2 linked regions of the Mus musculus genome follow. The protein of the gene in region 1 purifies or fractionates together with the protein of each later gene. This does not show direct contact. Links are inferred from orthologs where the notes say so. Each region holds a gene or a part of one and is shown on either strand. Other genes may lie near its edges. The genes, in order: Rbm28 and Rexo4.

Region 1 (15,390 bases):
TGCACTTAGGTTGGGCAGATCTACTGCTACACTGCCATCTTCCACATCTAAGGGTCTCACAGATGTGGAAGATGGTAGTGTGGTGGTAGATCTGCCCACCTATGAACTTGCCCTTTAGAACTTGCGGTTTCTCCAGGCCACGGGCTTCTGCTCCGCCTTCCCTCTTCCCATCCCCCTCTGCCTCTGCGTCCTCTCTCTCTGAAACCTCCTTCTTCTCCCAACTTTCCACTCCACCTTCCTCTTTTTCTGCCCAATCTTCAGCTCTCCTTTGTTTTACAAATTAAGGTGGGAAGCAGGTTTACAAGAAACCACCTGAGTGTTGACTCATTCCGTGTTCACAGCTACTCACAGGAGAATGGAATTAACATCAAATATAATTAGCCCCAGGGCTATCCAAAACATGTATTTTATTTTTTAAGATTTATTTTGTATTTTTTAAAATCTTATGTGTAGGTGTATGGCCATGTGTATGCATGTGCACCTGAATGCAGTGCTCATGGAATCTACAAGAGGGCAACAGATTCTCTGAAACTGGTCCTGTGTAAGAGCAGTATGTACTTAACCACTAAGCCATCTCTTCAATGCCCTGAGAAAAATCTGTAATACTTCACTGTTCATAATGCATGTAATGAGAGGTGCGTGACTCTTCAGCGTCTCAGCATGTTACTGCTGAGAACAGAGAACTGTCCAAAGACTCGATCCCTGAAGGAAGGAAATTAATGGAGACGGGAGGAAAGAAAACCTGATGGTTTTAGACTTAAAAAACATGTCCTGACATGGGATAAGCCTCAGAATACAGGCAGCTTCAGCTGTTCGGGGTTAGAGTCAGAAACTCTTTGATGCACTTTTTTCTCTAAATGCCAGGATACCGTAAATATCCTTAGGGTCATGAGGAGCACAGAAAATAATTTGAGAAAATACACCACTTATACAATATTACTGCCTGGAGCAGCATGCTGTTCTTCTGTAGCGGAGGAGTCTAAGTATGAAAGCCACAAGCATAGTACAACGGCTCCGTGCATAGATCCTACTCTGTCCACTGCAGAGGAGAAGAAAGAATTCCTGACTTCAATACGCTCACTCGCTTAAAATATCATTCAAGACATCTCACAAATGAAGGACATAAGGGGAAAATAAAATGCTTTTGTCATGATTCCTGGGGAGACGGAAACTAACATCTACTACCCAAGACAGGAACCAAAGATGTCCGTCTTTTGTCAAGGCAACACCAAAGCCAGCTGCCGAGCCAGACTTTACCGGGGTGACTTACAGAAGCAGAAAGGACTCAAAGACAGCTCCACCACCAGAAGCCCACGAGCTGAGCTCACACGCTGAGCGCCTGCAGTTCACTGCACAGCCTGAAGGCAGCTCAACAGGTCAGTGTCTTTTCTGGGTAGCTCAATGGTCTGGGCTTATCAGGTCTCAGCCTCTCCCCAGGAGCTTGGCTGCTGGGCCTCTTCTAGGCTTCAGCCTGTTTGAGAGTCCGTCTTAGCAGTCCCTACCGCTTATATATGCTTGAGGAGTAAGAGGTCTAGAGTATCCAGTCAGGCTCAGAAATGTCCTGAGCCTTTCTAAGCTTACCAACCCACCTTCCTCCAAGATGGAGGCTTTATCTTAGAGGAAATAGTTACACAACCAAAACATAGACTGTACAATGTAGAAGTGCGCTAAACTGTAATGAGTTCAAAATGGGCATACATTAAATACTGTGGGTACTCACCACTAACTGTGGTGTCAGACACGCTCTGACACATTACTGTTCTCTCATGCTATTTCCTCAATACCAAGGAATATGTTAAAGAGGCCTCAGGGTACTAGGCATACAGTTTACAGCTATAAAACAGCAAAGCACACCTACAATATTGGCAATGGCATTTTTAAATGTAAAGATGAACAGATTATGCCAAGTATCTCCAGGATTGGGGATAATGAGATACTATCTATCCTCAAAGAGCTCAGCTTGTCTGGAGAAACCACCAAGTCTGAGGCCAGTATAGAGGTTAACAAACGGTAAGGCCTTCAAAAGAGACAGAGCTGAACTGAATGCTAGTGTGAACTCATAGTCTTCTAACTCAACTGAAGACATGCACAGTCAACATGAAGACTGTGCTTACGGCGGAGTAATATTGAACACACAGTCAATGCTACCGTAGGAGCTAGGGGAAAGGCACAGGGGCACAGTGCTTGCCCTGTGTGATGGTTTGTATATGCTGGGCCCAGGGAGTGGCACTACTGAGGTGTGGCCTTGTTGGAGTAGGTATGTCACTGTGGGCGTGGGCTTTAATAACCTAGTCCTAGCTGCCTGGAAGCAGCCTTCAGATGAAGTTGTAGAACTCTCAGCTCTGCCTGCACCATGCCTGCCTGGATGCTGCCATGTTCCCTCCTTGATGATAATGGACTGAACCTCTGAACCTGTAAGCCAGCCCCAATTAAATGTTGTCCTTTATAAGACTTGGTCATGGTGTCTGTTCACAGCATTAGAACCCTAACTTAATGTCTTAAGTAGGAGAACCTGAGTTCAGATTCCGAGAACCAATGTAAAAGAACCACTAGGCATGGTGGTGTCTGTAGTCTCAGTGGCCCTGTGGTGGGATAAGGAGCTTCTGTAGAAACAGAAGCTCTAAGAACAGTAAGCATGGCTGTGCAGGGAACCAGAGCCTGACTCCAGGGGGACCGTGAGGACTGTCCTGACATCTCCGTGTGTGCCCTGCATGTGCTCTGTGTACTTCCTCTCTCCTCCCTCTCCCTATTTTCTTCCCTTTTCTCCTCTCCTTGTCCTTCCCCCCCTTCCTCTCCCTCCCTTTCCCTTTCTTTCAAATATATGCATGTGTATGCACGCAAACACACACACACACACCCCACCCCTCTTTTAGGAACCAAACCATATAAATTGTATTCTCTGCAACAAACTTTGCATTATATTATTTATATAAATCTGACCACACAGCAGGTATTGAATAAATGCTTGCTAAATTAATTCATGACAGAGTTCCTCACATTTTGCTGTAATTTAGTCAGATATGAAAGACAGTCCTCTGCTGGGCGGTGGTGGCGCACACCTTTAATCCTGGCAGTTGGAAGGCAGAGGCAGGTGGATTTCTGAGTTCAAGGCCAGCCTGGTCTACAGAGTGAGTTCCAGGACAGCCAGGGCTACATAGAGAAACCCTGTCTTGAAAAACCAAACAACAACAACAACAACAAACAAAAACAAACAAACAAAAAACCAAAAAGAAAGAAAGAAAGGAAGGAAGGAAGGAAGGAAGGAAGGAAGAAAGGAAGAAAGGAAGGAAGGAAGGAAGGAAGGAAGAAAGAAAGAAAGAAAGAAAGAAAGAAAGAAAGAAAGAAAGAAAGAAAGAAAGAAAGAAAGACAGACAGACAGTTCCCAGAAGAAAACCTGTTGACTTGCTGGCACCACAGCCTGAAATGAATGCTCGTGCCTGAAGGCTGTGCATGGCAAGGCATCACTCACCTCCTTAATTCGAACCCCCTTCTCTCCTCGAGTGGCCTCCAGCAGCAGCTTCCTTAGCTGTTTATCGTCCACAGCCTTTGGGAGATTGTGCAGGCAAAGCCTGGTCTGCGAGACAAAGATATTCTGGTTCTTGAGTTTCTGATGTTTCAGTAGCTCAAACTGGGAGAAGAGAAAAAGACAAGCTCTTAACATACAGCACATCTGTTAGGCAGGCTCCGAACTGTCCAAAAGAAGAGAATCGTAACCCCATCCCATGGCCACAGTGCGCCTGCCTGCCTGCTGCCTTACAGTACCCAGCAGAGAGAAAAGCAGGCCCAGGGAGGCGAATGGTCATGAACTCCAGAGTCAGAGCTGAACCAAAAAGTCATCCATTTGGAGAAATCAAATGACATTTTAAGATTCAATTTTTCATCTATAAAAGTGGAACTACAGGTCAATATTCAACTCTCGGCATGGACATGAGGCCAAATGAGATTAAAAACAACAAGCTGGGCAGTGGTAGCGCACGTCTTTAATCCCAGCACTTGGGAGGCAGAGGTAGGTGGATCTCAAGAGTTTGAGGCCAGCCTGGTCTACAGAGTGAGTTCCAGGACAGCCAGGGCTACACAGAGAAACCCTGTCTCAAAAAACCAAAACCAAAAAACAAACAAACAAAGCAACAACAAAAACCCCACATAGCTCAAAATGTGCCCAGCACAAATTTGTTTTTGTTTTTTCAAGGCAGGGATTCTCTGTACAGCCCTGGCTATCCTAGAACTCGCTCTGTAGACCAGGCTGGCCTCCAACTCAGAGATCCACCTGCCTCTGCCTCTGCCTCCCAGTGCTGGGACTAAGGGTATGCACCACCACTGCCCGGCTTGGCACAGCTATTCTTGTAAGTAATACTGAAGTTAGTGTTTATGCTCAGTCCTCAGCCACTCAGCAACGGGGATTTCTAGTGCCTCCTTCCTAGAGTTAGCTTATTTTTTATAATGCACGGAAATAATCCAGTAACCTATGGCTAGCAAAATTAGTTCTAAAACTCAGTATATCTTATTGCACTGCTTCCCCAAATACCATGATATCCAGATATTCAATACTTTAAAAAAATTTTTTAAATACTACTATAAAAACCCTATGCTGAGAAGACATTTGTTTCCACCGATCAATATAGCATATTTGCTGCTTGCCATCTCCTGAACATTAAGGTTCCATAGTTGTTCCCTTCTTGGCTGGCTTTTTACCCTTTAATTATCTTATTTTCCTATAAGGTGTGTGTCTGTGTGTTATTCTGTACACACTGTGCATGTGCTGGAGGTCAAAGGATAACTTTAGAGGCTGGATTCTCTCCACTGTAGGTTCTAGGGATCAACTCAGGTCAACTAGGCTTGTGCAGTAAGCACTTTTACCCACTGAGCCACCCCACTGGCTCTAGGCTGCCTTTTTAAAGGAAAACTGCATAAGCTAGGATAGAGCCCAGCTGGTAAAGTGTCTGCCTAGCACACACGGCATCTGGAGTTTAAACTTCGCACCATGGATACTGGCATGGTGGAGTGGGCCTGTAATCCCAGTACTCAGGAGATAGATGGAGGAGGATTAGAAATTCAGGAATATTAGGCTACACATTGAGGTCTGCCTGAGCTACATGGAACTATCTCAAAACAACAAAAGTAAGCAACTACTGCAAACACTGCTAAGCAGCAAAGGTGTCAGTTAACAGTAGAAACACCTATAATAGGAAGTTGTTCCACATAATTGTATTAATTTAGAGATACAATCCCTCCGAATGGCATCTTGGCTACTCTTTCTGAAACCCATCTCCTAAACATTGAGGCTCCTCTTGTTCCTAGTAAGCCTGCCTACTCAGCTTCCATCCTGTTGTTTTCCATTTATGATAACAATTATACACAGGCCCTCTCTCTCCACACCTACTGAGTGAGCTAGCGGCAGTTCCTCAGAACACACACATGCGTACTACAGAAACAGAGAGCAAGACTGAGCTCAGACAACAGGACGGAATGCTGACACAACAGCAAGAGTACTGTCCAGTCATTTCTCCTTTACCTATGTGCTTCTAACATGGTAAAGTGTGGTCCTTATACGTGGCTCTTCAGGAGCACTGTGGCAGCAGTGATTGTTTCTGACTCACTTACATAACCATGAGAGCTAAGGCTGGTGCCTCATCTACTCACCCGCTCGCGTTTGGCCATATCTGCGGCACTCACACCCTCAGCAGCCTTCGTCCCAGCGCGGATCACTGCAGAAAGAGGGAAAAGGGCCAAGATGTCACCAAGGGAATGTTCACTGAGCAATAGGAAGAATGTGATTTGAATGATGCAAACCCTTTGTACTAGACCCTAAGGACTGTGTTGGCCAGTTAGTTAGGTCCGAAAATAGCTACAAGGCTAAGTTCTAGACTTAGACTTGCTCTAAAGACAAACTGAACATTTTGTAATCTTGTTCCTCTCTGCCTCCAAAAAGCATCACATTCATGCTGCAAGTTAGACAGCAAGGCGTGGAAGAAGCTCTAAGTGCAGCTAGAATATAGAATGTTCCACCAACAAGCTGCCCCTGAAACTGAGGTGCTCACGTATGTGGCTGTCAATCACTCAGCAATTAATTAGATGAGCCAAAACAGAGAACAGAATTATGGTCTCAGAGGCTTTGGATCCAAAAGCTGACAGCCTAAATTTACTACCTGGAACTATGCATCTACGCAGGAGTAGGCTGATAAATACTTACAGCTATTAAACATTTAAAAATCTATCAATAATCAAAAAAAAAGTCACTTTAATTGTATTTTTCAGCCACTTAAAAACAAAAACACCTCATCAGAAACGAAGACAAAAGCAAGTAACTTAGGAGTTTTCTTCCTTGTGCTTCCAATCCTGCTACGTAGATAATCGGAGGCAACCAGACAGCAGAGAGTGAGACTGCTCAGCCTGCAAGAATGGGTGACGGTTCCTAACAAAGCCGCATCTACTCAAGTGGAACAGCAATAAAACACTGTTTTATTTGGAAATTTGGGTTTTATATTTGAAACACAATTGCTGGTTCGCGCTCAGGTCATGGGTGGGTACTCAGAGGCCTGGTTCCTATCTTCTTCTGATACTCACAGCCTTCTCTGGCCAGATAGAGGTTCCGGGTTCCAGTTGGCTTCTTCACCTTCTTTGTCTGAAGCTTTGCTGCCTCATCCCGGGTCACAGCTAAGTCGACCTTGAGCTGTCGGCCGTCCAGTTTAAGCCCACCACCCTGAAACATATTGCAACCTTCTCTTCAAACAGGGAGCAAGCAGAAAGTAAGCAGATAGCATGGAAGAGCAAGAAAAGGGACTCAGCACACTGTCACTGTGCCGTGGAGGCCAGGCCCCAGGCCGCATCTGCCTGGCCAGCTACACGTGGGTCCTTGAGGCTCAAAGGTGGTTTTACAATTGTACAAAAGGTCACATCTGTATGTACTGAAGAGCATCAGCAGTAAGGAATTTACTTTACAGTAGCTCAGTCCCAAAGTAGGCCTAAACTGAGGAAATTGTTCTGTAAACATGTTTAGTATTCTAAAGCTTGTGTAAGAATATTTAAGAGACAAGGACAACACAGGATAACATCTCAGAAACTGAATGCTTCATTTAAAAAGCACAGAAAGATTCTCAGTATCTACACTACCTCTACCAGACACTCAGACAGGTTCACAGACAGCATTGATACCTTCTTCCAGTCTTCATGTTATTAGTGTAGAATAGAGGCTGATACATAGGCAACAATCAATGAACACTAGAAATATCAAATTTGTTTCTCACTTAAGAAATATGGAGCCGGGCGTGGTGGTGCACACCTTTAATCCCAGCACTTGGGAGGCAGAGGCAGGCGGATTTCTGAGTTCGAGGCCAGCCTGGTCTACAAAGTGAGTTCCAGGACAGCCAAGGCTACACAGAGGAACCCTGTCTCGAAAAAAAAAAAAGAAAAGAAAAAAAGAAATATGGGCAGCTGCAATCATCTCAAAGCATGAATTAAGGTCACGCAGGCTAAGCTCAGTGCCTAGCGAATATTAAGTGCTCAAGTCTTCACTTTATTAAAAATACATAATAATAAAAACCTGGTGCAGACATCAGCTCTTGCCTACAGAAGCTGCCGTGTTCTAGGCACAGGGGAAGGACATGCTTTCCTTACCTCAGCCTCTAGAGAGGCCGCTGCAAGACATTTCTGAGCTGCTTCCTGAGTCATGAATTGTGCGAATGCACAACCTGTACAAAGATACAAAATGTAGTAAGATACACCCTCGCTTCCACAGTGAGCAAAGGACAACACTGAAAACACCCACAGCCTGACACAAATGGGAGGGGAAGCAGCACTTGGGGAACAGGTACCATGTTAAGTGCTGAGGGATCATAGCCAGATACTGTAGCATACACAGCCTTTCCTGGCAATTGGTCCCAACTATCTCCTTAATGATACTCACAGGAAATGATAAAGAAATCCAGCCAACCACTTAATTCAACATCATGGGGTGCCTAGTAGAACCCTGGAAGATGAGCTAGAAATATTTAATCCTGAAATTAATTATATTTCATAGTCTTAAGATGCCTGAGGCATCAAATAATGGTAGATTCATCTCTTGGGGTAAAAGAGGCCTCTATTCTATGAATATTGCAGGGAAAGTCATGAGCTCAGTTGTTGGCTTATGCTCTAGAATAATTTTTAAATGGTTTTTTAAAATAATTTATTTTTATTTTGTGTTCATTGGTGTTTTGTTGCATGTATGTTTGTGAGGGTGTCAGAAATTGGAGTTACAGATGGTTGTGAGCTGAGGTGTGGGTGCTGGGAATTGAATACACACACACACACACACACACACACACACACACACACACACCACCTACTATTTTGAATGAGGAGGGACCTGGAAAAGTACATAACTTAATATTAAAGCTATGCATTTAGCTTAGGTTGCAAAACCTGACTGGGAAATTCAAGGCACAGTTAGGTTTGTGACATGTTCTCTTTAAAGCAGTTAAGCTTAAAGAGGCTGAGTATACAGTAGGATAAATGGCTAAGTACATGGTTCTAAATGATCTCAAGGCATATTGTTAACTTGATGGCAAGGCCTGGAAAAAATTCAGTCTCCTTGGGGGCAAGAGACTTTTTCATTAAAATGTGTCATCATACACACACCCCTATGAAACATAAAATAGTTACATTGTTCATAGAGAATGGAAAGGCCATACAAGTTCAATATGGACCACTTTCTCCCCAAGTGCTTTTGCTTTGTGTGTGGTTGACTCCACTGATGTGTAGTCCATGGGTTCCAAGGCTGAACTGTGTGTGTTTCTTCTTCTATCTCTGTTAGTGGTCTGTGCTGTCGTAGGTGGTTCAGATTCCTTAAGTCTTTCATATTTGTGGAAGATGCTACCTGGTTAGTATGTGAATAACAGATGGGAGGTTGGGGACACAGAAGTAGGAACACTTGGCCCTGTGTTGGGGACTTAGAAAAGATCTCTCTAGATGGTGACTCCTGAGTTAGCCTACTATATTAATCTATGCTTTAGATTAATCTGCCTGCATTCATTTCAGTATGCGGCAGAAGATAATATCCTAGCTCTGGGAGATATGGTAGTCTTATATGAGAGAATTCTTTTTGAGTTTTGAGGTGTAAATATATTATGAAATAGACACCATTGCTCTCTTCAGACACACCAGAAGATGGCATCAGATCCCATTACAGATGGTTGTGAGCCACCATGCAATTGCTAGGAATTGAACTCAGGACCTCTGGAAGAGCAGTCTTAACTCTTAACTGCTGAGCCATCTCTCCAGCCCAGAGTGGAAGCAATCTTAGACAACAAATATAAACACTGAAAGCAACAGGTAGACATGGGCTGGTAACATCTGTTACTATAGCTCCTGTTGCTATACTGGGTCTGCTGGAAATAGTATTCCTGTCAAAGATTTCTATAAAGATCCCTCATTGCTTCCCCATACCATGCTTTCTGTACTGTTCAATTAGTATGAGGCAAAGTCCTTTATTAGGGACAGACAGTAGACACAAGACAAGTGGACAATTCAAATCAGGCTTACACTAAGCCCAACTAATCCAAGAGGAAGTTGCTTTATTTTTGTTCCTTAATACATATACGATCTAGAGATGAAAGTGTATGGAAGGTATGCATAGGTTATATGCAAACACTGTGCCATTTTATATAAAGAACTCGAGTACTCGCAAATTTTGGTATTTGCCATGGTCTTGAACAAGACCCAGTGGGTACTGAAGGACAAGTGTAATGAAAGAAATAAAGGATGAAGAGGTAAAAGATTTCTAACAGGCAGATTGCCTAGTCATCCCATAGCAAGAAAATCAGGCCAGGTATGGTGGTGAACACCTTTAATCGCAGCACTCAGGAAGTAGAGGCAAGCAGATTTCTGTGAGTTACAGGACAGCCTGGTCTACACAGTGAGACCCTGTCTGAAAAGAAAAGAAAATAGAAGGGGGGAGTGGGAAGGGGAGGGAGAGGGAGAGGGAGAGGGAGAGGGAGAGGGAGAGGGAGAGGGAGAGGGAGAGGGAGAGTCCACAGTATAAGGAAATCACTGTCTCAGAATCAGTGCTGGCTGGTTCAGTCTCAGCATCTCCCTAAGGTCATGGATCACGGTAGTTCTAGGCAGTAAAAAGGCTTGCTAAGAGAAACAAACTGTCAAGGAACACAGAAAAAGTATCAGAAAATTCCAGCAAGTTAGAGCCAGCAAATGACAGAACATTGAAAAAAATTAAAATTATGGTTTTAAAATGATTAACTATCAAGACTGAGGGAACAGAAAAGACGTCCAGCAAATCACTTGTCGGCTACATTGTAGAAGTGTTAATCTAAGAGATAAAAGTGAAATAGTGCCGCGCCCGCACTCTGGGTGTTCTAAGAGATTCTAGTTGTCCATTCCAGAAAAACAAACCAGAACTGAAAAAGGTCCTGAGGTGTGACCATCAGAGCTGAGGACATTTTATTACCCTAGTCACTTACCAGGCAAATAAGCCGAGCTCTCAGTGAGCCAATGTCCCTACCTCCAGGGAGCTGTTCAGTACTGCCTACATTATTTTAACTGAGTAAAGGTAAAATTGACCAAGTCTTATCTAATCAATTCCTATCAGTTGAAAAGTAAGGTTTAGAATGGAAGTTCTTAACCACGGATAAACTCTTGAGAAGCCACAAGGCCTCAGACACAGCGTTTTTCTGAGGAAAGGGCTCACAGCCCTGCTAGGGAGTCAGTGAACGATGACCTCAAGGCTTATGATGGTTTACCTCCCTGTGACTTGGCTGGGCAGAGAACCACCCCGGAGACCGAAGCCACACCCTCTAGGTATATTTGTGAGTATGTTTCCAAAAGGAGCAAGGGGAAAGATCTTCCCTAAAGGTGGGTGGTACTTCATGGTCTAGGGGCGTGGGCAAAATCAAGGATGCGGTGAGAGCAGACCGTTAGCACCAGCCACCCTTTCTCGACTTCTTGGCCCAGCATGAAGATGAGCGGCTCTGCCTGTGCTCCCATCAGAACAGACTTCATGCTCTGAGATGGGAGCAGAGTAAGCCATGCTTTCTTTATGTCAGGATAAAGCAAACACAGAGTAATGGGAAGCTTAAACAGAACGGCTGCAGTCCATGGGGTAAGAGCTTAGAAACAGGCTAATGCGATCTATGTGTATCTGTTCACACACTAATACTCAGCCCTGTGCTAGAATGAGTGCTGATCCCTCAAGAGTAACAAGCACTATGAGGATAATATTCCCGCACCACTCCTATACATAGTTTCCCTCTGACTGCTGCCATGCAACAAAGTTTCTGTCAGTTTCTATCTCTAACAAAAGCATCAAAGAAAAAAGTTCCCTATTAATTCTGAGCAATGTAGAATGATTAATGCCCATGAGATGCTATCACATTTGAAATGCAAAGGAGAACAACAAATAGAATTCATTTTCTTAAAGTAAGTAAGCAAGAGCTTTAAAGGCTGAGACAAAATTAAGGCTGGCAAAGCCATTAAATTGCTGAATTCCACGTCACGAAGGACAATCTCAAAATGTCCTTGGGCTTTTAATGGAAGCCAAGCCAGAGACAGAACAGACTGTGTACCGACCAGAACGGCATGGTTTATGCTCTTTCCTGATGTCGGGCCTGGTCAGCCGAGGGCAGTACCTTTAGAATGCTCTGTGTCTGGATGCAAGACAACTCGGACATACTTAAGATCCCCAAACTGTTGGAGGACCTCGCCAAGTGCCTCTTCTTCTGAGTCAAATGAAAGATTTCTGTGGAAGAAAAACAGGTCACACGAATTTCAGTGACAAAGCAAGACCTTGAGTTTTGATCTGAGGTATATGAATTAGACATCGACAAATGATGTCTGCCTTGTTCACATCCATTCTCCCTTCTTCAAAATAGCAGTAGCACACAAGAGCGGCCCCTAGTGGCTAAGCCTTGGTCTATCAGTCTGGCCCTATGTCCCAACCTTCCTATATCAGATTCTGTCACTTGAAAATTTAAAATTTAATAGACAAAAAAAAAGCCAAAAAAACTAAAAGCTGCAGATATAGATACATTAACTTCGAAACTGAAGTGTCACAGATACTGGAATGATACAGATATGCTATAGCATGACCTGATAATCATGTGGCTATATAAATGAAAACTTTGCTTAGCTGTACCCTTAAAGTAATACACTTTACAGAAATACCTTGTGCCTTCATTTTTTTTTTTTAAAGATGGCATCCTAGAGAAAAGACCCACAACCTCCAGCAGCGGGAATCTAAATTTCCCAGACTTTCACTGCCTACTCAAGATTTGCATCTAGACAACACCGATTCTGTGAACAAACCAGTATTCATCCAGTCTGTTCTCTTTCACTCACTGGGGCTGAAATTAGTTTTTCTTATTACAACCAGAAGTTTTCACGGGAGTCTGGTAAGAAACATGTTTTTCTTTTATTGAATTAGACATATTCCCCGCCATGTTTATATGAAATCTGGATCTCAGTTAAAATTTTCTAACGAGGGCAAAATCTTTCAAAATAACGCAAAAGAAAAACATGTTAAGATGACTAGGTCACGGTGAGATGACTAGGCAAACGGGAAGGGAGAAGGGGAGAGAGAAAGGGGGAAGGGAAAAGGAAAGAGCAGGAACCATACATTGAATATCCTTAATCTGAGAAGCTAAAGCTTTTTGTGTATTTTTAAAATGTTTAGTATGCATATACATGCATGTGCACCATGAAATGCATGTGATGATTACAGGACAATTTGTAGGAATCTAGTTCTCTCCTTCCAGCATGTAAATCCTGAATATCAAACTCAGGTTGTCAGGCTGTGTCAAGCCTTTTCGTACCAAGCCATCTCACTCAGCAGTCTGCCTACAATTTAGTAAACTAACCTGACCTAGAAAATGCAGTAGGACCTAACTCCACTCTGTATATTCCCCTGGAAACAAAAGGCGTATCTTTCTGTATTCTGGACATGACTTTAAAAGAGAAGCTAGAGGCTAGCTGGGATGTAGCTCAGTTGGCAGAGTGCTTGCTGGTGTCTTAGTTTGCTTTTTATTGCTGTGATAAAGCCATGACCAAAAGCAAGCTGGTGGGGAAAGGGTTTATTACAGCTCGCCCCTGGAACTGGAGTTGCAGACTGCTGTTGAAGGTATGAGGCCAAATCTGCTTTTGGCCTACAGAATCTCCCATGCACACCCTCCTCTCCATCCAACAGTGGCTAACTGGGGAGTTTCCCCCCAAACTCCCTACATTCCTACACTTGATAAGTACATTCCATTCAGTTCTGTGTGGTTAGCAAAGCTTTCTTTTCACTTTGGGCGGTTGTACTGCTAAGATCTGGAGTCCTCCGCCTCTGAAAACCCTGTCCACAGGTTCTAGATTCTTCCTTAGGCCCACTGGGGTCTCTCTCTTGGTGACATGAGTCTGCTGTGACCCCTTTGTCCCAGAGATCTCAAGATACATACATGAAGATGCCCAGTCTCTCAACTTAGACCCACGGGCCTCCACTGGTGATAGAAATGTTTCCTGCACCAGTAAAACACATTAATAGTGCACTTTAGCTCCCAAATGCATCTCTGCTTTCCCTTCTGCTGCTCCAAGCCCTGTGCTGTGACTCTTACACTCTCTGAACAGTCCTACATGACACTGTAAGCCTCTGCAGCATTTCAGTCTTAGGAGTACTGACTGGCAGGCACTTCGTGCTCACCAGCTGCTGGGCTGCTCATGCAGCCTACCTCACCCACACCTCCCTACAGCCCACACTGCCTGAGCCTACCTCAGCAAGGATGCTACACTCCTCAGGCCCCCACTACAGGAGGTCCCCCTTCTCCTTACCCATCAACTGCCCGCCCAGCTATACTTATTTCCACGTCAGCCCTGCCACTCTGCACAGCCCAGTCTGCCCTCCAACACTCCGTAACAACCCCGTATCTTCTCTCCAGTCTCCCTAGGAACTGCAGCTTCCTGAGCCCTATGTCTGGCTCACAGTGAGATCCTTTCCTCGCTATCTCCTCCATGAGCTGCCTGCTAAGTCTGACAGCTCTCTTGGGTCCCTCTGGGCCTGCGCAATGTCCTTCTTGGAAGTCCTGGAGCTTCTTTATGTCCATGTCTGGGCTACTGTGACCCCTACCCTTCACTCCCTCTTCTGCCACTGTGGCCCCCAGAACTTGTTCCAGCTGCAACCTAACAGCTCCTCCCTCCCCCTCACCGTTGTCTCTTCAAAAAGCTCCCTCCGTTCAGCCTGATGGCAAGCCCACTCCAATCCTAAAGCCAATTTCCCACCACCTACCGTCCAGACGCCAGCTCTCCCTCTGCTGCTACGCTACTGTTACAACTGCCTCCACTTCCTCTTCCCAGCTCCCTTCCTAAAGCCAAATTCTCCACTGTTGACTGAACTACAATACAATTTATTTATGGTTGCCTTATCAGATACCTCTCTCATTTGACCCTCCCTCCACCAAAGCCCTCACCATCAGCCCAACTTATTAACCATTTCCTGCCAGACACTGACTTCAGCTTTAAAGCCGGCCATACAAAAGTCATATTCTGTAATGACAAGAAGTTTATTACATTTATGGTTTACAAAAATAAGTTTTCTTTAGCCTCATGCATATGTATTTTCAAGGTTAAGCCTAAAATCGGGTATACTTAATATATGGCCCTCAAACTCCTCAGAGATCTGCTGAATATGGCATTTAAAATGTTCAATAAAAAACTTCCCACAATAAATAGAGAGCTCCTTCTAACAAGAAAACGTTAAGGTCTCCAAAGAAGGCAAATGGGGAACAACTGCAGCTGACTCCACCTGGACCGCAACACTAACCGCTCCCCGGGGAAAACTGCCACCCCCTCCCCCGCAGCAGGAATCCACACAAGCTGTGGACACTGGATTGACTGCTATACTTTGCCTTATCAGAATAAGGTCAATGTTCCCAAGGCCGCCCTTCCTCTACAGGAAGAATTCCTCAGCCCTAGTCTGACAGCCAAAGGCCTGCTGCTCTGGGACAACTATTAAATGCAGTTCTTTTCAGACAACTGAAGACGGACTGCTTCTGCAGTGAACCATGTGAGCCTCAAATGACTAAGTAAGTCTTTGTCATTTTTATTGCTATAAAAACAATTTAAACTGTACTTCTTACTCAAATCTATCCCTCTCAGGTCTCTGGTGACATTGGTGAGTAGCTGCAGCTTTAACAACAGCCAACACCCAGCAGCCTGCTCGGTCCATTTCCTATAGACAGGCTACACACTAATACCTGAATTTCTAAAGCTTATAAGAAACAGACAAAAAAAGTTATGTAGGTTAAGAAAAAAAAAAAAAAAAAAAGGCTGGGCAGTGGTGGTGCACGCCTTTAATCCCAGCACTCGAGAGGCAGAGGCAGGAGGATTTCTGAGTTAGAGGCCAGCCTGGTCTACAGAGTGAGTTCCAGACAGCCA
Region 2 (15,390 bases), on another chromosome or scaffold:
TTTTTTTTCTACTAGTAATCGAGTTGCTTGGACTTGCCCATACCTTAGGCCTAGTCTCTTTAACTGCCAATTTGAAGTGTGTTGCGGAATCTGCCTAGCCTTCTCTGTGCTCAGAACTTGGTCTTGGGGGGTGCCGGGGAGGGGGTGTCCTGATTGGATATTTTTCCTAACAGCCACCACCAAGTCTCCCAAACCTTCTTACGTGGTCTGTTGGCTTTGCTGCTTATCTCTAGTCAGAGAAACCCGAGGGCAAACGATTCAACTGTGACCGCCCCATCTGTATTGCACTATCAGGATCAAGAATAGATTGCTGGTCATTAACACTGCGATTAAGAATGTATATGTATACGTATATAGTCACAATTAAATTTTGCTTTATCATTAATATCGGACACTGCTGGCGTGCCTTTGCAGTCAGTAAACCAGAGACGTGGGGAAGGCTTCGGTATTCGCAGTGTGTGGTTGTGCATAGGGCAACCTACACAAGACCCGCCTCCGCCTCTTCCGTACCCCCGTGAGTGCCACACCGAGAGTAGTCCCCCAGCCTTTTCCGGTGTCCCAGAGTCTCCTCATTTGCGGCCTTCCGGGACACCAGATCTTTGTGAAGGTCTGGGCTCCCTTCCGTCAAACTCTGGGTATCCAACCGCAGCGCTGCTAGCCAGGGCTGTCAGCCCCCAGTGCTAACTAGCGGGCTAGTCGCAGAGTCCGCATACGTGCGGAACCAAAGATGCAGTCTCGGTTTCTAGCAGGTCGCGAAGAGAACAGCAACCCGGGTTCCCGCATGCGCAGTGGAGCACGCTTGCACCCTGGGAAATGTGTGCTTGCGCGGTTGCTGGAGTCGCGGTCTCTTCCCTGGTGGTTCCGACTGCGGAGAGCGGGGAGATGAAGACGAAGGCCACCGCGCCGGTGCCCCAACCTGGGCCTATCAGGAAGCTCGCTAGGAAGAAAGCCAAGAAGAAGTTCAGGAAGAGCAAAGCTCTGGCAGGAAGTGGGGTTCCGGGAAGCCACCCGGCGGCTGTGGCAGGCCGACCGCCGAAGGCCCCCGAGAACTTTTCTCAAAATTGGAAGGCGTTGCAAGAGGTGAGACCGGCGACAGGCCACCTTCATCCCGAACTTTCTGTCAGGTAGCCACAGACTCCGAAGGAGGAAGGGATGTTGCCCTCTGCTTCATTCAAATTCTTTTTCTCAATTATGAATCACTTATCTAGGTTGCCACCCTGGCAACGTCTTAAACTATGTCCCAGAACTCTGGCCCAGTGGTTCTGGAACTATTGTAGCTCAGGGTATACCCACACTAGTGGTTGTCCTCCTACATTAGGTAGCCTCCCTAGTCCTGAGCCTCTATACCTACCCCCATTCATAAATTCTTCCATACTAGTTAGATGCTTTTTTTTGTTGTTTTTGTTTTTTCGAGACAGGGTTTCTCTGTGTAGCCCTGGCCGTCCTGGAACTCACTCTGTAGACCAGGCTGGCCTCGAACTCAGAAATCTGCCTGCCTCTGCCTCCCGAGTGCTGGGATTAAAGGCGTGCGCCACCACGCCCAGCTTAGTTAGATGCTTTTACTGCCCTTGTTTCTTAGACGGGGAAATTGTGACACATAACTTACAGGGTTTGAGTTGAAAGTAGGTCACATACGGTGTAAACAGCAGAACTGGGGTGCTGAATATGCCTTCACTGTCGACTTCTAGGGAGTCTTGAGGAGTGTATGTCATGGAGCCTCAGTAAGAAAGACAATAAGGAATTTCTTGGCCTCCATAACAACACTCCACCTTGTTCCTTAGTGTGGATCTTCCAACAGGACACCCAGGAGCAGCCAAACCCTGTGGACAGTCAGGGCTGTGTATGCTGGTTCTTGTTCTTTCTCCCAAGAAAGTAAAGTGTGCAGGGAGGACATGTTTACTAAAGGAAACTTGGATTTGGCTCTGGTTTCTACAAGAATCTAAATCCTTCAGGCCTTTTAAGTATTAGGGGAGTGAATAAGTAGAAACTCACTGCAACATCTCTCAGCTGGTTGCCATCTTGTTGTGGTCTTAACTGGAGATTTGAACACAAGGAAGAAATTGGTCTCCTGGACCTCTCCTCTACATGGATCAGCCCTATCTGGTTTCACAGGACTTCTTTCTTTCCATTGAACTCCCTTCCTCCAGGTCTTCCTTAGATTCTGAGCTGTAGCCGCCTCCAGAGATAACGGAAGTGATCACTGTGTCCCACAGTGTTGACCATGGAAGTCACTAAGTGAAACTCCAAATAAAGAAGTGAAAAGCACCATTAGTGGTGATGGGAAGTGCATGGATGATAGAATAGATGTACACACAAGTTTCTTGAACCTGTGGTATGTCAGTTCAAAATTAAATGTGGCTTTTAACAAAATAATAAATGTGGCTTATATTTAATTTTGATTCCATTAGCTACTGAAACAAAAGTCACAGGCCGCAGAAAAACCTCTTGTCTCTCAGATGGATGACAAAATGCACCCCCAAATAATCCAGCAGAACAGAAAAAAGGCCTCAGATAAATCAAAGGGAGACAAGCAGAGGACAGAAAAGGCCAAGAGCACTAGGGGTTCTGTTACATCTGCACCTACGGACAGGAAGATACTAGTACCTCCCACAGATACCTCTGGAACAGAGCAGAAGAAAGGAGCCAAGAAGAGGACATATAGTGACATCTCTTCTCATCAAGGGGCTCTCAAGCCTAAGTGGAAAGCTACGGAGGCAGCTGTTATCTTGAATCAGCCCACGCCCACTGAGTAAGTATCAACTCTGCTGTGGTGCCTGGAACATCCACAGAAACAGGTGATCCACTGTCTTCACCACCACCGTTCGGCCCTGGTACAGTCTTCTACCCAACCCTGTGATATTTGTTTGTTCGTCCCTTGTTTCTCCTAGAGTGTGGGCTGCTAAAGGCAGACCCTATTATACAGATAATACTGTGTCTTTGGGCCCCAGTGTAGAGCTTGGCACAAGGTAAGAGCCAACAAAAACTTTTTCATAGTGTGTGCTGGACCCAGAAGGACTCCTGTGAAACCCAGTCCTGCCTTTTTGCCAATTGATGGCTTTCTTGCATCCTTTTATCCTCAGTGTGGTCATCTGTACAGTTAGGGGGACTGAAGTGCACTATGTGTTGCTTAGTGTCTTTTGCCTGCTTAATGAGCACTGTGATAACACCTAGCCTGGATGGGATATGCTTATAAGGCAGGTTGGCTTCCTGCTGCCTAGGATTTTCCTGCCTTCCCTTAAACCTAAAGAAAACCTTGGTCTGGGATTATACAGTGGAGGGTGCGGGCAAAGGGGAAGGAGAACATTTCTTTGGGAACTGGTATGGGAAGTGTGTTTATGAGAGTTGTGTCAGATCAAGCTAAGTGAGCCCATGACAGGCTACAAGATTCAGCTGCTGAAGGGTAAAGGGACGTGAGTTTAACTGCTTCTGCTGAGTTATATAAGCAGGCTGGATTGGAGAGACTACAAGGCCCCTCCCTCCTAAGGCTGATATAAGCAGGAAAGACACACAGGCATTTTACTTTAGCATTTGTGTGTGTGGCAGGAGGTGTCAGGGTATCCTAGTGAAGAAAGCAAATGAGCAGGAAGCATGCGGCCCATCAGTTGAACCTTTTGAGTAAAGATACTGAATGTCTGGAATTCACCAGATAGCCATGAAGCACCCAGTATCAACTCTCTCATGCTTCCAAAGTGTGCACAGGGTACAAGGCACAGGTCCCTGTCTTTTTTTAAATTTTTAAATTTTTTTTGGTTTTCGAGACAGGGTTTCTCTGTGTAGCCTTGGCTGTCCTGGAACTCACTTTGTAGACCAGGCTGGCCTCGAACTCAGAAATCCGCCTGCCTCTGCCTCCCTAGTGCTGGAATTAAAGGCGTGTGCCTGGCTCACAGGTCCCTTTCTGCCATGCACTCCTCTGCTTGTGTTTCTTGACCAGTAGCAAACCTATTGTGTAATTGGAAAATGCCTGGTCATTATACTGAAGTAGGTTACATGCTTCTGTTTCACATTCTGTTTTATCTGTAGTTCTCCTAAGTCTTGGATAATAGATATATTTGCAAATTAAAAGAACAGTAGTGAGGGCTGGAAAGGTGGCTTAGGGGTTAAGAGTGCTGGCTGCTCCTCTAGAGACCTGAGTTAAGTCTCCAGTGCCAGAGATCCGATGATGCATGCCCTCTTCTGGCCATCAGGCGCCAGGCATGCAAGTGATAAATATAATGCATGGGTGCATGCAGGCAAAACAGGATACAAATAATAAAGGAATGTGTGAGAGCAGATTCAGCTGGACTGAGTGTGGAGTGTAGAGGGGGAGCCATCCTGCCAGAGGTCCTTTCGCGAAGCATCCATCTGTGTCCTGGGTCTTTTCACAGCCAGGCATTCTCATCTTTGTCTCATAGGGAAGACATCTGGTTTGATGATGTGGATCCAGATGATATTGAGGATGCCATAGGCCCAGAGGCAGCCATGCTGGTACGGAAGAGGCTGGGGCAGAAGAAGAGGACCATCTCCCTGGAGAAGGAACAAGCCTTTGGCGGGTAAGCTGAGCTCGGGCCATAGCTGCTGGCAATGTTACTCCTTCTGGGGCTGGGATCATGGGAGGAGGAGCAAGCACTGAGCCATGACTGCCCAGCAGTCATGGGGGTGCAGAATGAGGCTTGGCTCACTGGCCTAGAATCCCAGCCCGTGATATCTATTACACTGGGGCCTTTGGTTCCCCTAGCTTGACAAAAGCCTTGGCCCTGGATTGTGAGATGGTAGGCGTGGGTCCCAAAGGGGAAGAGAGCATCGCAGCCCGTGTGTCGATCGTGAACCAGTATGGGAAGTGTGTTTATGACAAGTACGTCAAGCCAACTGAGCCAGTGACTGACTACAGGACAGCCGTCAGTGGGATCCGGCCTGAGAACCTGAAGCAGGGTATGACTGATGTCCATAAGATTTGAGTGTAGTGGTGGAGATGGTAGCAGGACTCGTTTCTCTTCAACTTCCCCTTCTGTGTTCCAGAACATGGCATGGCAGGGGTCCTGACACTGCTTAGCTCTTCCCCAGACTTTGCAGATACAAAAGGAAAGATACCTTTCCTGGCTGTTGTGCTGTTTGTGTCCTGGGCTCTTGGATTATTTTCTGTCTTGTGGCAGTAGGGAATAAACTGGAGCATGTTAGGAACCAGGAGGGAAATCTTGAAGAGTGAGTAGGCTACATGGTAGGAGCTGGGAGGACAGATCACAGGGTCTCTTTGGGAAATTAGTGCAGTAATGGCAGAGAGGCCTCCAGCAGGATCCTTGTGGTCATGACATTGAGTACAGGGTAGGGGTCAGAAGACTGGTTCTGAGGCAGGAGCTAGGTAGGGAGGTAGCTGGAAGAAATGAGCCAACATAGCAGAGGGAGGCTGGGTCTGATTTATAATAGGCGAGAACATCTAGGATGCTTGAGCCTGCCTCCTAGGGAGACCTGGAGACCACTAGGGATGCAACCGTGTTTTTTTTTCCCCCGTTCCTCACCACCCACTGCCTGTTTGCTTCTCCTGGTACCCATGGCTAACATAGTATCTCTGTTGTTCCATAAACCGTAGGCTGGCCAGCCTCTCTTTCTTTTTTTTTTTTTTTTTTTTTTTTTTTTAATTTTTTATTAGGTATTTAGCTCATTTACATTTCCAATGCTATACCAAAAGTCCCCCATACCCACCCACCCCCACTCCCCTACCCACCCACTCCCCCTTTTTGGCCCTGGCGTTCCCCTGTACTGGGGCATATAAATTTTGCGTGTCCAATGGGCCTCTCTTTCCAGTGATGGCCAACTAGGCCATCTTTTGATACATATGCAGCTAGAGTCAAGAGCTCCGGGGTACTGGTTAGTTCATAATGTTGTTCCACCTATAGGGTTGCAGATCCCTTTAGCTCCTTGGGTACTTTCTCTAGCTCCTCCATTGGGAGCCCTGTGATCCATCCATTAGGTGACTGTGAGCATCCACTTCTGTGTTTGCTAGCAGCCTCTCTTTCTATCTCAGAAGAGAGGTTGGTCCTTTAGCTCTGAATAGAGCTGGGCAGTGAAGTAGTTTTGGGGCCCATTCTAGTAGAGGTGGGGGCAGGGTGGTCCTCGAAGGCTGTCAACTGGGAAGGAGCAGCACAGCAGACCCTAGGGTCTGTGCAGCCTCCTTTGCACTGTCTGGTTCGCAAATCCAGTCTGACTCTACTTAGGAAGTCATAAGTATGAGAATGGGAAGCCTGTTGCCAAGTGTCCCTGAGATAGTCTAAATGTTCCTGGACTTCTAGGTTAGCAGTAGTTTGCTAACTGGTACCAGTCCACTGACTGTGATTGGCTTTGAGTGGAGTTCTTGTCTTTTTTCCAACTGTCTCCAGAAGTGGGAGCAGAGCACAAGGCATAGTGGGGTGCCTCCTAGCCCTTCCACTTCCCTGGAAAAATGGACACTTCTAGGGACCTACCTCCCACCACAGCTTTGTGTATCATGAAGGGCCTGACCTGTTGTTACCAGTCCGGCCAGGAATGGAAGGAACTTCCCTTAGAATCTTAGTGAGTTATGTGTTGTTAATCATTTCTTCATTTGGTTTTCAGGAGAAGAGTTTGAAGTTGTGAAGAAGGAAGTGGCAGAAATGTTGAAGGGCAGAATCCTGGTGGGGCATGCGCTACACAATGATTTAAAGGTGCTGGGCTCTTCCATGTGAGCCACACAAGCCTTACATCCCTGTCTCCAAAAGCACTACTCTGGAGGCTTTTTCATTTTGATTTTTTATCTAGACTTGGGATTTCTCTAGGAATAGTGTCAGGTACCTGATGTCTGGCTGTGTTCAAGAGACCACATTAGGTAGTTTTTGGAGTCCCGACTACATTGGGGGTTTCAGTGCCAGAGTATTGACAGCTCAAAGTAGGGGAGTTTTGAATGTCACCTACCTGACATGGCAGATGGCCTGGTGTCTAGCTGTGTGCTCCAGGGCCAGAGACAAATCTATGCACCCTGTCAGAGCCCTAGGGTTCTTGTTATGTGTCCAGTTTATATCTGGGCATTGCTGCGATGCTGGAAGCCCACCTACCTGGGTTTATTAAATGGATCACTTTAAGTTCACAAGCAAACTGCTGCCTAATCCATTTGAGGGTGCAGCAGGAAAATGGGAGCATAGTCGACTTGGCAAAAGGGACACCTCTGTTGTCACCTGGTGTGGTAGACTCCAGAGACAAGGTTTCTTTGTAGCCCTGCTGTCCTAGAACTCACTAAGTAGAACAGGCTGGCCTGGAATGCAAGAGATCCACCTGCCTTTCTGCCTCCTGAGTTCTGAGATTAAAGATTACTTATTTTTCTGTGCATTGCTGTTTTGCCTACCCTATGTGACAGTGCCAGATTTCCTGGGACTGGTGTTGTAGACAGTTGTGAGCTCCCTTATGAATTCAGGACATTGAACCCAGATCCTCTGGAAGGGATCCAGAGCAGCCGGTGCTCTCAACTGCTAAGCCTTCTCTCCAGCCCCAGAGATTCTAATGCCAGACATCAGAGCCTTGCCGGGTACACCAGGAGTTACACAATGTAAACAGATCTTGTTTAATCCTTTGAGGAATAGGCTTTTGTGGGTAGCAGAGCTAAGTGTTAGGGGGTTGGGAGCAGATTCCAGGGGAGCAGTGGATATGCATTCAGGGACTTCTCCACGGCTCCTCAGCATCCCAAGTTTCTGAGTTGAATGTTGCTGCCGCTTCAGCTATCCCTATAGGAAGGGAACTGAATGGGCACGTGCTTCCTCAGGGTGTCATTCCAGCTAGTCACCTCCTTTAGAGGCCAGCCACAGCCAGCCAGTTAGGTAACTGAGCTCAGAGGACTCTACCGAGTGCTAGGGCATGTGACAGTGGACCTTGTCCTTCCTGGATGTGATCTGTAGTGCCACTGTATTCATGTGTTTCAGGAACCTCTAGATGGGAGTTTAATTCTCATTCAATTATTTGGGGCTAGAGATGTATGTAGCTCAGTGGCAGAATGCGTGCTTCGTGTGTAAAGGCCCAGGGTTTCGTCCCAGCACCAAAAAAAGAAAATAACAAATGTTCCAACAATTAAAAATTAACCAAAGTCAACTGCTCACTGATATGATGAGTCACCTTGGAGAAGACTGCCACCAGGGCCACACCTGCCTCCTCTAGTGGGTCACTTTTTTGGACCGTATGAGTCTAGAAGTGTGTTACATTGCGGGGTGAGCTGTTAGATCTCACGTCTTGCTCCCCCATGTGAACAACCAGCTCAGAGAAGTCAGCTGCAGGTTGACTTTTTCGCAACATCGTTGATGTCAAGATTTTGTTTATTTTTCATTTATTTATTTATTTATTTATTTATTTATTATGATTAAGTACACTGTAGCTGTCTTCAGACACACCAGAAGAGGGCATCAGATCTCATTTCATGTGGTTATGAGCCACCATGTGGTTGCTGGGATTTGAACTCAGGACCTCTGGAAGAGCAGGCAGTGCTCTACACCACTGAGCCATCTCACCAGCCCCTATTTTTCTTTTTTGAGACAGGGTCTCACTGTATAGTCCTGGCTTGCCTTGAACTCACAAGAGATCTACCTGCATCTATCTCTAGAGTGCTAGGATTAAAAGTATGCAGCACACCTGTTCAAGATTTTATTTTTATTAACATGGTTCTGAATATTGGGCATCGCCTTAAGTCAGGGAAATGACCTTGCGAGACTGCTTCTTCCTGAGTGTTAGCACCCAGCGGTGCCAGCCCTGTGAGACGCATTGTTACAAACTGAATGGAGATACTTGTCATTTTCTTGTAGGTTTTGTTCCTTGACCATCCAAAAAAGAAAATCAGGGACACTCAGAAATTCAAACCATTCAGGAGTCGAGTAAAGGTACGGAATGAATGAGTCTTGGGCCGTGAGTAGCCCCTGGCACTGACCCCTCTGGCTAAAGGGATCTAGTTTGTTTTGGTTTCTCACTTTAACCTTTAAGAGTACTTGTCACTGAAGTCTGGCAACCTGATTTTGATCCCTGGAACTCCCATGAAGGCAGGAGAGGTTGTCCTCAGATATGGCTCAGTGGTACTCGGTACTCTTGCAAAGGACCTGAGTTCAATTCTCAGCACTCAACGTCAGGTTACTCACAATCCCTGTAACTCCAGTACCAGGAACTCTGACCTTCTCAGGCCCTGCAATTATGTGCACATGCCAACATGCAGCCAGACATACCTATATATAACTAAAAAGAACTTAAAAAAATTAAGCCAGGTGTAGTGGATCACACCTTTAATCCCAGCACTAAGGAAGTAAAGATAGGCGGATCTCTTGAGTTTGAAGCCAGCCTGGTCTACAAGGAGAAACCCTACCTTTAAAAAAACTAAAATAATTAAAAGCACTCTACCACTTGGAATATTGCCAGCCCCAGCTCTTCCTCTACTAGCTGATGAGCAATGTCATAAGCCATAGCAGGCTGATGGTTGCAGCCGTAAGTGCCACATACTCCTGGTGAAAGGGAGAGTGCGGGTCACTCGAGTGTGCTCAGGCGCCAGCTGTGTCCTCTGTGGGCACAACCTGTGGAAGCAACACATTCAGTGGAATTCTTTTCTCTACAGAGTGGACGACCGTCTCTGAAACGGCTTTCTGAGAAAATTCTGGGGATCAGGGTCCAACAGGCCGAGCACTGCTCAGTGAGTATCATTGGGTTACAGCCCCTGACTTTTTAACACCTATGGTTCATTTGACCATAGAAACAGGAAAGGACCCTAGGCAGAGCAGGCTTACAGAATGTTGTTATATCTTACATATTTACATTTCACTTGAACTCAATACAAAGAATAATATAGAGTAAGGATTTGGACAAAATTCACCAGTCTAATTGAAGGCTGTTTGTATACTTCCAGTTATTGAGTAATAATACCTGAGGTGGGGACTTCATGGTAATGAGGCTTAGCTGATTGGAGAGAGGCCAAGGAGGAAGGAGAAACAGGTCACTCTTGGCAGAACTGACTGGTGCCATTTGACCTCCCACTAGACCCAGCTCTGAAAGGTCCCACTCCCCTTCATTGCCACACTAGGCTCCTGCGTGAGGGTGGAACCTTTCCAAACCCTAGCAAAGGAGCTTTAGGACTGTATGATTTGAGGTTCTCGGTCCTAACAGGTCCTCCTGGCCAGGCAGTGTGCTTCAGGAGAACAGGTTCCCCTGTGCTGTAGCCTCTGACTCTTTGAACCCTTCTGCCTGTCTCAGCTGTTGTCTGCTGTGAAGCTCCAGCTTCCTCCTGCTGTGGGGCCTCCCTTTCTGCCCCTGTAAACAGAGTGGCTGAGTTTGAAGCACAGGAAGTTAGATTCAGATTCTGCTAAAAGTGGTGCCCTGACCATTTTGTATGGTTTTCTCCTTCACTGCCCTTCCATAGTCACCCAGGGAGAGAGAGAGAGGGGTGTGTGTGTGTGTGTGTGTGTGTCTGTCTTGGCTTTGCAGCCTCAGTAGTGTGGCTGTCATGAAGACTCAGTAGTTGTAGGGTTACTTCTGTGGCTGTAGTCCTGTGTTCTCACTAGCTGGCTGGTGGAACATTACTGTCTGTCACCCAGATCCAGGATGCCCAGGCAGCAATGAGGCTTTACGTCATGGTGAAACGGGAATGGGAGAGCAGTACTGCAAACCGGCGTGCCCCAGCTGCCACTCCACAGCACCGCATCAAGAACTCTTAGCACCATCCTACTGCTGTCGCCACCACCCTGTCCGTCAGAGACTTCTCAATCCAGTGGCAGTTGGGATGGGGTTATGAGGCCTGTCAGGTCTATGCACAGCAGGGACTCTGTCTTTGGTGAGCTTTCTCAGAGCCATGGCTGCAGGCATGTGAGCTGCGGGAACTTCCTCCTGAACTACCCAGGGCCTAATCATCCAGCACCTGTGTGTTGAGGTAGACTGGTCAGATACAGGGCAGAAGTCAGGGGTGTAGGTTCGAGGAAGGAGAACATCATTGGAATGGAGGAGAGTGCTGCAGAGTCTATGTCTGCTGACCACCTGTGCTACCACTTAACAATGAGCATAGCTGGTCTCAGCCAGGGCACTCAGCACCTTCCCTTAAGGAGCAAGAAGCGCCTTCTCTGTCAGGTAAGGGGATAAGCTCTGCTGGATCCAAGGGATCCAGGCTAAGGGCGTTCAGTCTGCTGCAAACCAGTCTGGCCAGCACAGCAACCGCCCATTGAGGACTTTCTTAAAGCTACTGGGCTGGAGGTCCTTTCCCACTCCTTTGTCCTTTGCTTGGCCTAAGATGCCAATGCCCCGCCATGTTTTCTCCAGAGAGTCCTTGGGGTGAGCCTTGGGGCACAGGTACACTCAGAGGTCTGAGAGCCTACCATGTGGAACAGTGTAAGCAGAAAGGCCATCTTCCCACTGTCCTGCCAGCAGCTGTTCTGGGTAGCAGCAATTGCAGAGTGACCAGTGAACTTTATGGACTTAGCTGACAACTCCTAGAACATGTGCACCCATGCATATGATGACAGATGTCTGCTTTTAATGCAGCTGTGGACTGAGGTGTGGCTCAGAGGACACTTGTTCACTAAGTGTAAGACCCTGGTATCCTTTCCTAGAACTGTCAAAAATAAATGGATGGATCAAATGGAGTGTGTGGAAGTTCATGTTTTTTCCCATCATCAAGGCAGGACCACTGACAGCAGGCCAGGCATGCCAGAAACAGCCTAGGGCTTCTTTTATTAGTCACCATGGGGTACGAAATTAATACTGGACCTAGTGATACTTTCTCTTACCACAGGACCAGAAGGGCAGCATGTCAGGGCCTGAAGAGGGGCTCTCCCTGCAGTGGGGCTTCCTGCCCTGCAGGAGGCTCAAGCTGATCCTCCTGGAGGCCAGGTTGTGCATTTGCTTCCAGTACCTGGAGTATCTCATCAGCGTAAGAAATCAGCTCCTGGAAGGAGGAAACGAGAACCATTTGCTACAGTGGCCTCAAGATCCGGGAGCAATTACTTTGACGACATAAATCCTACTGATGGGATCTTTCAGGTGGTCTGGCTGCACTTCCCATTTGGGATTGGATTCAGCCCAGTCACAGGGAAAGGCATCATGTGGAGCTATGAGTCAGTGCAGTGCAAGGGTTCTGGCTCGATACAAGGTGTCATCATCACTTACCAGGCTGGAGGTAAAGCGCCCCCGGATCACCTGGACTAGGTCTTTGATGCCTCCAGACTCCATCTCTGGCAGGATCTCCTCTGCAGGGGAGCAGAGAAGATGGTGAGGCTAAGGATACCCGCTCACCAGCCAGTTACGGTGCCACTGACTCAGAGTAGATAAGTGGCAAGGTACAGGGGTTTGAGACCAGGCTCTGGGGCTCCTTCCCTTCCTGCCACAGAGAGGACAAGGTAAGGGTCCTCACTGTAGGAGGTCAGATGGGCCAACAGCATGCAGAGGTTCTCCACCACCTCAGGGTCATCCTTGTAGAGCTTGTAGATATCTTGGATGAGGTGGAGGCCGCTGCTGCCCTCTTCCAGTACTACTATTCGGAAGGCCACCAGTTCTGGAGTAGGGAGGCAAGGAGATTTGTGTGTATAATATAGTCCAGTATAGCTCCTTTGCAGCCACCCTTATTTCTCAGCTCCCTGTACTCAGTGTCCCCGGGAAGTAGCATGACTGGTTGTAGGGTTGCTGGGAGAGCTCTTCTGCCAGGAGCCCTAGCTTTCTGTAAAGGAAGCTCCTAAGTCAGGGCTGTCCCCTGCTCTGTAAATGGTAAGAGGTGTTTGCAATACTTGGCTTCTCTGCAGCTCTGCACTTGTTGGCAATGAGCGCCACGCCCAGGGGAAATACAGTGCTTATGTTCCTCTTCCCTGCAAGAAATGGAATGGAGGCCTCGGTGTGGTGCTGTGGAGAAGGGGCTCCTGTGCAGGTGGCCCTCTCACCCTGCAACAGGAGACTGAAACCTCCCTTACAAGGTACTTTGTTTAAGGGTGTCAAGAGGAAATAAGATTCCCAAGTGCCCTTCAGGAGACCCCACCAGTTTGAGTAGCCCAGTCGACTGTCATGAGTAGAAATGAGCAGGAGTGAAAGCAAGGAGACAGCCCTGGGAGCCCTGAAGGACCCGGGTGGAGTGGGAGCATTCCTACCATATGCTGCTCGGGACCATGGCCTGCCCCTGGGCCCAGGGTTCTCTACAAAGAAAGACTGCCAGTGCTTAGTATGAGACCTGGCATAAGCTTGAACTTGGAGATGGACTGATATGTAGGAGACTCATGTGGCTATAGGATGTGTATATAGTGGGGGTGGGGGGTAGACATAAGACACCAAACGTGGACAAGTCCCAGTGGTGTTTCCTGGAAGCTATTTCTTCCTGTTCTAGTGTGGGGTCACCAGGTGAACATCATTGGAGGGAGCTGGCTTTTGTTCCACCCCCAGCTGGCAGCTTGACTTGTCCCAGACTTACCGGACACCTTTGCGAGGCTGGCCAAGCCACGGAATGCATTGTTCACCAGCAGTACTCTGCCAGGGCACAGCTGGATGCTTCTCAGGAGCAGCACTACCACCTGCTCAAACTGACTCTCCTTTATGCAGCCTACAAAGAACAAGCCTTGTTGTCTGTGTGTCCAGGGTCACCCTCCCTGTTACCAAGGCCTCGGGCTACTCACCCAACAAGGACAGCAGCCAGAGCACCGCACAGCCAGCCTCTGCTATTTCCACGTCCTCCGGATGAGTAGCCAGCACCCAGGTGACCATGCCAGAGAGCTGCTCCAAGGGCTCTTTGTCCACAGTGACAACTAGACCCAGGACAAAGATGGGGACACCAGGCCAGGTATGAACAGCAGCACCAGCTGTCTGTGTGCCCCTCTACACTGTTCCCTCCCACCAGAACAACAGAGAATCAAGTGGACATGAGGGAGATGTCCTCAGAGATGGAAAATGGGGCTTTCCACTGCCAGAGTTTGCAGTAGAGTCATCAATAGAGATGGGGACTTTCAGCATTAGTGGCATTAGCAGGATTTCTGTGGTACTTTGGGGTTGGCATGGCTTGGAGCTCTCTTTCCTTGGCAAGATAATATCTAGAAGAGAAGGTCAGGCCTAGAAACCCCCATTCAAAACCCAAACCAGGATAGGGCCTCAAATGCTCTAGTGACCTCTGGAGTCAGGGGCAGCCTACTCATTGGACAAGGTGTTCTAACTTAGCCCACTAGTGTCTCACTGTGCCCTCTTTGAGCCATGGGGCCTAGGATTGCCCTCCTATGCTTAAGGAAGATAGAGAGCTGCAGTTCTTAACCTGTTCTTCACGACAGCTGGTACACTTCATGTTGTAGTGACCCCCAACCATAAAATTATTTTTGTTGCTACTTCATAACTGTAATTTTGCTACTATTATGGACTATAATGTAAATATCTGTGTTTCCTGATAGTCTTAGGCAGCCCCTATAAAAGGGTTATGCCTGTGGGGTCAAGATCCACAGGTTGAAAACGGCTCTAGTAGATCTCATGTAGTGGGGCTTATGCAGGAGTGCCTCACCATCTACCAGGAGGGACCAGAGCAGGCTCAGGATAGAGAGGCAGATGTCCCTGTCCTCTTGGAAGTGCTCCAGGTTCTCTTGGGCAAGCTGAAACAACCCCTCCTCTTCCAGCTCTTCTGAGATCTGTCCTGTAGGCAGCCATAAACACTTGGAGGGGAAGTTTCCAAGAAGCCTTCCCCAGCACTACCTTTTCTCAGTGGGCTGATGCAATACCTAGTCTGCCTGGCTGGTCTACTTTAATGCCTAAGCCTAATACCCCTCTCGCCCAAGTGGGCTCAGTGTGGGTGGGGAAGAAGTCTAAGTGGCCCAGTGCCTAGCCTTGACTTGACCAGCTAGCCAGCCATTCAATTCTTGGCCACTGTCCCGAGTTTCCAAGCAGTGCCCATGGCTGCCACTCAGAACAGAGAACAGCGTGGCTATCCATCTTGGGCATGGGCCCCTCTCCTGCCCATCTCCCAAGGCCTCTATTCTGTCCCTGGCTTTTTAGAGCAGAAACAGAGCAAAAGGCCAACACACCTTGGCTGGAAATAATGGCAAGCACGTTGTAGACCACATTAACAAGCCTTTCAGAGTTAGGATGGCTCCGCAAGGTATCCATCAGGAAGGAGATGATCAAACTGCTCCTTGGGATCTCAGCTTCTGGGTCCTTTGCCAGTGCTGATTGGGCCAAGGAAAGAACATCAGTCAACCCACAGCTAGGGCTCTAAGATGGAAAGGTGTCCTCCCTCACTGGGAATAACATCACCTCTTGGAATTAAAGTGTTTATGGGCTCTTGCCCAGTGGTACAGTGATTGCCTGGCATGCAAGAGGACCTGGATTCGACACACAGCCCTGAGAAAAAGACCTAGTCTGTGTGGAGGTTAGGCTCAGTATTAAGACTGGAAAGGTAAAAGGGTAACGAGGTGCTCCAGGCTTAAAGATGGCACTAGGTAAGTTCTT

What was found.
Region 2: the proteins of Rbm28 (region 1) and Rexo4 purify together in Homo sapiens (affinity purification with mass spectrometry; 3 studies listed by BioGRID and IntAct, with this or other methods). This does not show direct contact. The link is inferred for Mus musculus from reciprocal best matches to the Homo sapiens genes RBM28 and REXO4.

What each region holds. Positions count from the first base shown.
Region 1 is NC_000072.6:29,131,939-29,147,328, forward strand, and holds part of Rbm28 (RNA-binding protein 28), read right to left. Parts: intron 11,726-15,390; coding exon 11,616-11,725; intron 7,689-11,615; coding exon 7,615-7,688; intron 6,701-7,614; coding exon 6,565-6,700; intron 5,706-6,564; coding exon 5,641-5,705; intron 3,629-5,640; coding exon 3,470-3,628; intron 1-3,469. UniProt on the Homo sapiens protein: Nucleolar component of the spliceosomal ribonucleoprotein complexes.
Region 2 is NC_000068.7:26,949,742-26,965,131, reverse strand, and holds Rexo4 (RNA exonuclease 4), read left to right. Parts: upstream 1-745; 5' UTR 746-813; coding exon 814-1,080; intron 1,081-2,408; coding exon 2,409-2,749; intron 2,750-4,391; coding exon 4,392-4,529; intron 4,530-4,714; coding exon 4,715-4,908; intron 4,909-6,564; coding exon 6,565-6,653; intron 6,654-8,768; coding exon 8,769-8,843; intron 8,844-9,562; coding exon 9,563-9,637; intron 9,638-10,535; coding exon 10,536-10,655; 3' UTR 10,656-11,569; downstream 11,570-15,390. Other genes in the region: serine/threonine kinase-like domain-containing protein STKLD1, read right to left, coding at 11,741-11,875, 12,097-12,176, 12,341-12,481, 13,382-13,510, 13,584-13,712, 14,450-14,578, 14,967-15,107.